2 linked regions of the Macaca mulatta genome follow. The protein of the gene in region 2 interacts with the protein of the main gene of each other region in a pairwise test. Links are inferred from orthologs where the notes say so. Each region holds a gene or a part of one and is shown on either strand. Other genes may lie near its edges.

Region 1 (4,362 bases), on a different chromosome or scaffold from region 2:
TATTTAGCAATATTTTCTGCTTTATGTGAAGTAGAGACATTTTCTTTGTATTAAAAGAGCAAAATAAATTTGTTTTCTTTAAAAGCAAAACAAGAAAAAGTGGGAAACTCTGCAGGTGACAAGTGGGTCCATGATAGGGAGCCAGCCACGGAGGTGAGATAAGGGGGAGTCCTAGGAAAGTGGCCTGGGGAGTAGGAGAGAGTGAGAACCTCCCCTGGAAACGTTCCCTCTTTCACGTCTTCCTAGCCCCTTGACTTGGGAGTGCTGACCCGATGGTTGTGGCCCCACCCCAAGGGGTGGAAGTGGGGACCAAACGGGACCAATGTCTGCCCATCAGGTCTGCAGGGGAGGGTGGGGAGGCAGGGAGTACTGGGAACCTGGAGACTGGGGATGCTTCCTCACACTCACTAGTACCAGACCCATGGGGGAGGTAAGCCAGGCTGGAGGTCGAGTTAACAGGGTAAAGAGGCCAGGGCCCTAGTTTCGCATCCGCCGATTGGCAGCTCTTCTAACGTGTTCTTTCACAGAAGCCCCTCCTTGGGAAGCCCCGCGCCCCACCCACCCGTAGTCGTCCCTTTTTGGGAGGGGCTGAGGCTTCCAGGCTGGGTCCTGAGAACGTTTGGTGGCCGGAGACTGTGGGGCACTTGGGTACCGACCTAACAACGTCTGCCGCCATTTCCAGGGGCGAGCCACGCACGGTGCCCCTTGAACACTTAACAGTCCCGGGGGCAGCCCCACCTCTGGCTGGGTGGACAGGGACAGCCTGTGGGCGTGGCCCAGAAATGAAAGCCTGCGACTCCTTGCGACCCGCCGGGCACACCCCCTACTCAGCTACGCAGCTCCCGAGCGCTGGAGGGGAGCTTCCCAGGCTCCCACTAGCCCACCCTCAAGCTGGGGTTTCGCACGTGCGATCGGCTGGGGTGGACAGGGGGGTCTCCGCTCAAGGAGGTGTTCAGAACCACCCCTCCTCCCCCACCCTCTCTCCTGCGGGGCCCTACTGCTCCTCGAAAGCGCTGGCAGGGACGAAGAGCCTGCGGGGGCCAAATTCAGTACCGCCCCCCGCCTCCCACGGGAACAGCCCAATAGGCCGCCGCCACCAGCTGGCTGGAGCAGCCGCTGGTGACATCTGCGCCGCGCCCACGCTTCGGAGCCAAGATCCACCTCCGCTCCCGCCCGCACTGGGGAGCCCACCCACACACCCACCCACCAACTGCACTAACCTGGCCGCCTCGGCTGGGCCTGGGTTCCCACGCCCGCCAGGCTCCGCTCTACTCGCGCCGCTTCCGGGTGTGCGCGGAGGCGCTGGGGCGGTGCCCTAGCCCGAGCCTCCTAGTCCGCCCGCGCGTCCTGCTCCGCGGGCTCCCGGTGGCTGCTTCCCGCCCGCTGCCCTCTGCTGCCAGTCCCCTGTCCCGGGCAAAGCCCATCTGGTTCGCTGAGCAGGTAAGACACCAGCGCCCAAGGTTAGACGGCAGGAAGACCGGGACTTTGGGGGTTTGCGATTTTTACGAGGCCGGGGGCTCGTAAGAGCGAGAGCTGCCAGATTTCGGTAGATCAAGGGAGCGCCCCCTGGAGACCAGAATTTTCTGGTGCCCCTGGGGATCCGGCTTCAAGATCGCTGCTGCCAGTGGGCACTCAAAACGGGGTGCCCATGTGTCCCAGGTACAAGCCCAGCCGAGCGTATCTGAAGCCCCAGGAAACACGTGGCACAAATTCCGGGAGAAACTGTTAGCCCGGAAGATATGGGAACATTAACTGGCGAGTAGTGTGAAGCCTTGTGTACGCAAACCTTCAGGAACCTTAAAACAAGATTGGCGGCCCGGCGCAGTGGCTCACGCCTGTAATCCCAGCACTTTGAGAGGCCGAGGCAGGTGGATCACCTGAGATCAGGAGTTCAGGACCAGCCTGGCCAATATGGTGAAACCCCATCTCTACTAAAAATACAAAAATTAGCCGGACGTGGTGGCGCGCGCCTGTAGTCCCAGCTACTCGCGAGGCCGCGGCAGGAGAATCTCTTGAACCCGCGAGGTGGAGGTTGCAGTGAGCCGAGATCTCGCCACTGCACTCCAGCCTGGGCGACACAGCTAGATTCCGTCTCAGAACAAAACAAAACAAAAAGAAAAAACAAACAAGATTGGCAACTTCAAAGAGGACGCACACTTTTCCAATAACCCATCCCCCTCTAAAGGCTGCTCTCCAGGGTGGGTCTGCGGAGTTCCAGCCAAACCCAAAGTGCCCAGCGGGAGCCAGGACTGCTCAGGGGTCGGCACTTGAAACTTGAGCCCCTCAGGCACCAGAACCGTCAGGTCCCAGAGCCCCAAGTTCTTTTTCATCTTGTGGGGCTGTCTTAGGAAGCACCCGGGACATCTCCCCCGCGAGGCGGAGGCGGGGAAGGAGGCGGGGAAAGAGCCTCCCCTCCCGGGGCGGATCCAGCTTTGCCCCGCCCACACCTCGCTTCCTGATTGGCTCATGGTCCCTGACAAGGAAAAGTCTACATTAATGCTCCCGCCTTATTAACCCTGTAGTCACTTTCTACTAACCGGCCGGGTTAAGAAGGGGTTTCTCAGGCCGGGCGCCGTGGCTCATCCCCGTAATCCCATCACTTTGGGAGGCCGAGGCGGGCCGATCGCTCGAGCCCAGGAGTTCGAGGTCAGTCTGGGCAACAAAGCGAGACCTCGTATCTGAAACAAAATTACAAAAATTAGCCAGGCGTGGTGGCGTGCCCCTGTAGTCCCAGCCACTCGGGAGGCTGAGGTGGGAGAATTGCTTGAGCCCGGGATACAGAGGGTGCAGTGAGTTGTGATTGCGCCACCACTGCACTCCAGCCTGGGTAAAGTGGGAGACCCTGTCTCAAAAAAATAAATAAATAAATAAATAAATAAATAAAGGTTGGGGGGTGAGTTCTCAACGTGGAACCTGTGGAGTCACCAGGGACTTGTTGAAATGCAGATTCCTGGGCCTTACCCTTTCCGGAGAGCCTGATTTAGTAGGTGAGGCTGTGAAATCTGCTTTGTGAACAAGTGTTCACAAAGCAGTTATCTGATGCCCCACGCTGTCTGAGAGGCCCTCAAGTTACTCAGGCCACAAGCATTTGTACACCTAAGATGGGTCTTCCGGCAACACTTTGCGCCTTCCTAAGCCCAGAGACGTCCCTTTCTCTCCAGGCCGGAGCTATTGGGAGTGGCGGATCCTCCCACCCCAGCCGGATCCAGGCCATGGCCGAGACTGGAGAGGGACTGCCAGAGGAGGTGTTGGCGCTCATCTTCCGCCACCTGCCCCTGAGAGACCGTGCTGCCGCCGCCAGGGTCTGCAGGGCCTGGGCCGCCGCTGCTACCTGCAGCACTGTGTGGCACGACACAAAAATCAGGTGAGCCTGCTCCTCGACACTCCCCTCCCCATGGCCCACTCACCTTCTCTGTGGAGTCGTGGGCTAGAGATTCAGGTTGACTCCCCCATATTAAAAAATAATTGCTGGCAGGGTGCGGTGGCTTATGCCTGTAATCCCAGCACTTTGGGAGGCCGAGGCGGGTGGATCACCTGAGGTCAGGAGTTTGAGACCACCCTGGCCAACATGCTGAAATCCCCTCTCTACTAAAATACAAAAACTAGCCGGGTGTGGTGGCGGGCGCCTGTAATCCCAGCTACTTCGGAGGCTGAGGCACGAGAATCGCTTGAACCCGGGAGGCGGAGGTTGCAGTGAGCCAAGATCCCGCCACTGCACTCCAGCTTGGCAACAGAGTGAGACTTTATCTCAAAATAATAATAATAGTAATAATAATAATTGCTGACATGTATTGACTACCTAATATATACCAACCATTGTTTTTAAGTGCCTTACATATATTAACTGATTTAATCTTTACGAAAACCTGTGTGGTAAATAGGTATTATCATTACCTCCATTGCCCAGATAGGAAGCTGAGGCAGACAGACTTAATCACTTCCCACAGGTCACTCAGCTAGGGAATGGCAGGGGCAGAATTCGAACCACGCCAAGACTTCTTAGAGACAGCTGAGAAAGCCCAGTTCCTAAAATATCATTGGCTCTCCATGTCCAGGTTTCATCCTGTGGCAGACGCCACTGAAATCTTCTAAAAGGATAGGATGAGAGTTCCCTCCTTTGGGGCAACAGTCGCGGTCTGGACAGAGACGTGGGGAGGGAGGCAGGAAATGGGATGGCAGCTGGAATCCCAGCTAAGGGGTGGATAGAGGGTTCTTCCCTGGTCGCGGGGACTCAGCCGAGGCCTTTTCTGCACGGCTCTAACTCAAGTTGCGAATGTGAGCTGGAAGGCATGCTGCCACTTTATCTGTCCACCTGCCTGGACCACGTTCACAACCTCCGGCTGGAATTTGAGCCATCGAGGG
Region 2 (3,803 bases):
CTTTCCACTGTTGCCGAACAATTAGTATCAGTTTCTTGATTTTTTTCAATCTAGAGAAGTATCCATAGTGTTAGTTTTGCTTCTGGTAAAGTTGAGTGTTCCTTGTGTTTGGCCTTTCAGATTTCATTTATTGCCTGTACATATTATTAACCCATTTCTCTATAATGATTTTTTTTTTTTTTTTTTTTTGAGACGGAGTCTGGCTCTGTCGCCCAGGCTGGAGTGCAGTGGCCGGATCTCAGCTCACTGCAGGCTCCGCCTCCCGGGTTTACGCCATTCTCCTGCCTCAGCCTCCCGAGTAGCTGGGACTATAGGCGCCTACCACCTCTCCTGGCTAGTTTTTTGTATTTTTTTTTTTAGTAGAGACAGGGTTTCACCGTGTTAGCCAGGATGGTCTCCATCTCCTGAGCTCGTGATCCGCCCGTCTCGGCCTCCCAAAGTACTGGGATTACAGGCTTGAGCCACCGCGCCTGGCCTCTATAATGATTTTTTAAACATTTTATATTCTCTCGGCTAATCATTGTACATACTGCAGGTATCTTCCAGTCATTGTCCTGTCTAACTTTTCTTTTTGCATAGAAGCTTTTTAATGTAGTCAAGTACAGTACTCTGTCAGCATGGCTTGCTTTTATCTAATAAGATCTTTTCCCTTCTAGGGTTATAAAGATTCTTCATTTTTGCTTTTCAAGCTTGGCTGTTAATGGCTCAAGTCAACCTCTAGCTAGTTATTATTCCAGTATAGGGATAAGTTGTCCCAGCAGTGATTCGAATGAGTACCTTGTGACAAAATGCCACAGAGGAATAAAACTTTTTTGTTGTTGTAGGTCATTCAGTGGTGCACCCACCACAAGGATGACCCTCCTCCTCCTGAAGATGATGAGAACAAAGAAAAGCGAACAGACGATATCCCTGTTTGGGACCAAGAATTCCTGAAAGTTGACCAAGGAACACTTTTTGAACTCATTCTGGTAAGTGTTTAACGTGTAAGATAGCTCTGTTCCAGAGCCTTTAAACACTTCTTATAGATTTAAAATTTGCTAACTTCATTGACACTGAATTTTAATACTCTCTAAATTCAAATGTAATGCCATATTTAAATCCACATATCAGTAACACACTAAATGTAAATGGTCTCAACACAGCTAAAAGGCAGAAATTACCAGATCAGAAAAGCAAGCTTAGCTATGCTGTCTATAAGAAACCCACTTTAGGCTGGACGCGGTGGCTCAAGCCTGTAATCCCAGCACTTTGGGAGGCCGAGACGGGCGGATCACGAGGTCAGGAGATCGAGACCATCGTGGCCTACACGGTGAAACCCCGTCTCTACTAAAAAATACAAAAAACTAGCCGGGCGAGGTGGCGGGCGCCTGTAGTCCCAGCTACTCGGGAGGCTGAGGCAGGAGAATGGCGTAAACCCAGGAGGCGGAGCTTGCAGTGAGCTGAGATCTGGTCACTGTACTCCAACCTGGACGACAGAGCGAGACTCCGTCTCAAAAAAAAAAAAAAAAAAAGAAACCCACTTTAAATATATAGACACAACTAGGTTTAAAGAATGGAAGAAGATACACTACACTAACACGAGTCAAAAGAAAGCTGGAGTAACTATATTAAAATAGGTTTGGAGGGAAAGAATATTACCAGGGTTAAAGAGGATTATTTCATATTGATAAGGGGATCAGTTTTTTAAAAAGACGTAACAGTTATAAATGTTTATCTGCCTAGAAGCAGAACTTCCAAGTGAAACAAAACCCAGTAGAACTCAAAGAAGTCCACAAAGTGACAATCATAGAGATTTCAGCACCTCTCTCAGTTAATATAACTAGACAGAAATCAGGATAACTTGATATAACACTATTGACCAAATTGTCTTAATGGACATTTATAAAACATTTTATATATATATATATATATATATATATATTTTTTTTTTTTTTTTTTTTTTTTTTTTTTTGAGACAGAGTTTCACTCTTGTCACACAGGCTGTGTTGCAGTGGTGTGATTTTGGCTCACTGCAACCTCCACCTCCCGGGTTCAAGCGATTCTCTGCCTTAGCCTTATGAGTAGCTGAGATTACAGGCATGAGCCATCACACCTAGCTAATTTTTTATATTTTTAGTAGAGATGGGGTTTCATCATGCTGGCCAGGCTGGTCTCGAACTCCTAGCCTCAAGTGATCCACCCGCCTCGCCCTCCCAAGTGTCGGGGTTATAGGCGTGAGCCACTGCGCCTGGCTGAGACTTGTTTTATGGCCCAGGACATGGTCTGTCTTGGTAATATACACTTGAAAAGAATATGTATTCTGCTATCATTACATATAATGTTTTAGGCTGGGCACAGTGGCTCACACCTGTAATCCCAGCACTTTAGGAGGCCGAGGCGGGAGGATCACGAGGTCAGGAAATCGAGACCATCTTGGCTAACATGGTGAAATCCCGTCTCTACTAAAAATACAAAAAATTAGCCGGGCGTGGTGGCAGGCGCCTGTAGTCTTAGCTACTTGGAGGCTGTGGAGAATGGCGTGAACCCGGGAGGTGGAGCTTGCAGTGAGCCAAGATCGCTCCACCGCCCTCCAGTGACAGAGCGAGAGACCCGTCTCAAAAATAAATAAATAAATTAGCTGGGTGTGGAGACACGCACCTGTAATCCCACCTACTTGGGAGACTGAGGCAAGAGAATCGGCTGAACCTGGGAGGTGCAGGTTGCAGTAAGCCGAGATCATGCCACTGAATTCCAGCCTGGGTGACAGAGTGAGATGGTGTCTCAAAAAAAGTCTATTGTAAAAGGATTCAAGTCATACAAAGTTTGTCTTCTGACTGCAATGGAATTAGAAATCACAAACAGAAAGATATCTGGAAAAATCTGCAACTACTTTTAAACTAACACATTTGCAGGTAAGCTACGGGTCAAAGAAGAAATAGAAAGTATTTTGAGCTGAATGGAAATAAAACACATGAAAAATCTGTGAGATGCAGCTAAAGAATTACTTAGAAGGAAACTGATGGAATGAAATACCTATATTATTAGAAAGGAAAAAAGTTTCAGATCGGTGATTAAGCTTCCACCTTAAACTAGTAAAGGATGAAATTAAAGTAAACAGAAAAATGAGAATATTAAAGGGCAGAAATCAATGAAATAGAAAACAGGTAAACAATAAAGTCAATGAAACCAAAACCTGTTTTTTAAAAAGAGATCAATAAAGTGTAGTGCTTTAACTGCTTATTTTTGAACTCTTTAAGTGTGGACAAATATTTTTGCCAAGACCTGATGTGGTATTTGTGTGCATGTGTACACACATACACAACAGTAGTGGCTGTTATTTAACATTTGAGCTAGTATAGTTTGGTTAAGGAAGCATAGGGATGCAACATTATAGAGGTGTAACAAAGAAGGTCACATAAAAGTCTTTCACAGAAGAACTTAAGAGTGATTTATTCTCCCTTTAATTTAAAATTAGCATTTTAAGCTTTATTAGATATGGAATGTGAATCATTAACTTTGGATTTAGTTTAAAACATCAAGTATACTTTAAGGAAAACAACTGTCTCTTTACAGGCTGCAAACTACTTAGACATCAAAGGTTTGCTTGATGTTACATGCAAGACTGTTGCCAATATGATCAAGGGGAAGACTCCTGAGGAGATTCGCAAGACCTTCAATATCAAAAATGACTTTACTGAAGAGGAGGAAGCCCAGGTAGGTAGCAAAGTTTTGTCTTTGATCACATGCTCTTAAAAAGGGACTAACGCCTATAACATGCCAGGAAAAGAGGTGACTGTATCAAGTAGTCTTGATACTTCAGGGAT

The links. The genes of interacting proteins can lie anywhere in the genome.
Region 1: the proteins of SKP1 (region 2) and FBXL8 interact in binary tests that used the Homo sapiens proteins (3 or more experiments, as listed by UniProt). The link is inferred for Macaca mulatta from reciprocal best matches to the Homo sapiens genes SKP1 and FBXL8.

Annotation. Positions count from the first base shown.
Region 1 is NC_133425.1:62,701,751-62,706,112, forward strand, and holds the start of FBXL8 (F-box/LRR-repeat protein 8), read left to right. Parts: upstream 1-1,326; 5' UTR 1,327-1,440; intron 1,441-3,161; 5' UTR 3,162-3,212; coding exon 3,213-3,364; intron 3,365-3,894; exon of another isoform or gene 3,895-4,172; coding exon of another isoform or gene 4,173-4,267; coding exon 4,268-4,362. UniProt on the Homo sapiens protein: Substrate-recognition component of the SCF (SKP1-CUL1-F-box protein)-type E3 ubiquitin ligase complex.
Region 2 is NC_133411.1:143,061,681-143,065,483, reverse strand, and holds part of SKP1 (S-phase kinase-associated protein 1), read left to right. Parts: intron 1-824; coding exon 825-968; intron 969-3,552; coding exon 3,553-3,693; intron 3,694-3,803. UniProt on the Homo sapiens protein: Essential component of the SCF (SKP1-CUL1-F-box protein) ubiquitin ligase complex, which mediates the ubiquitination of proteins involved in cell cycle progression, signal transduction and transcription.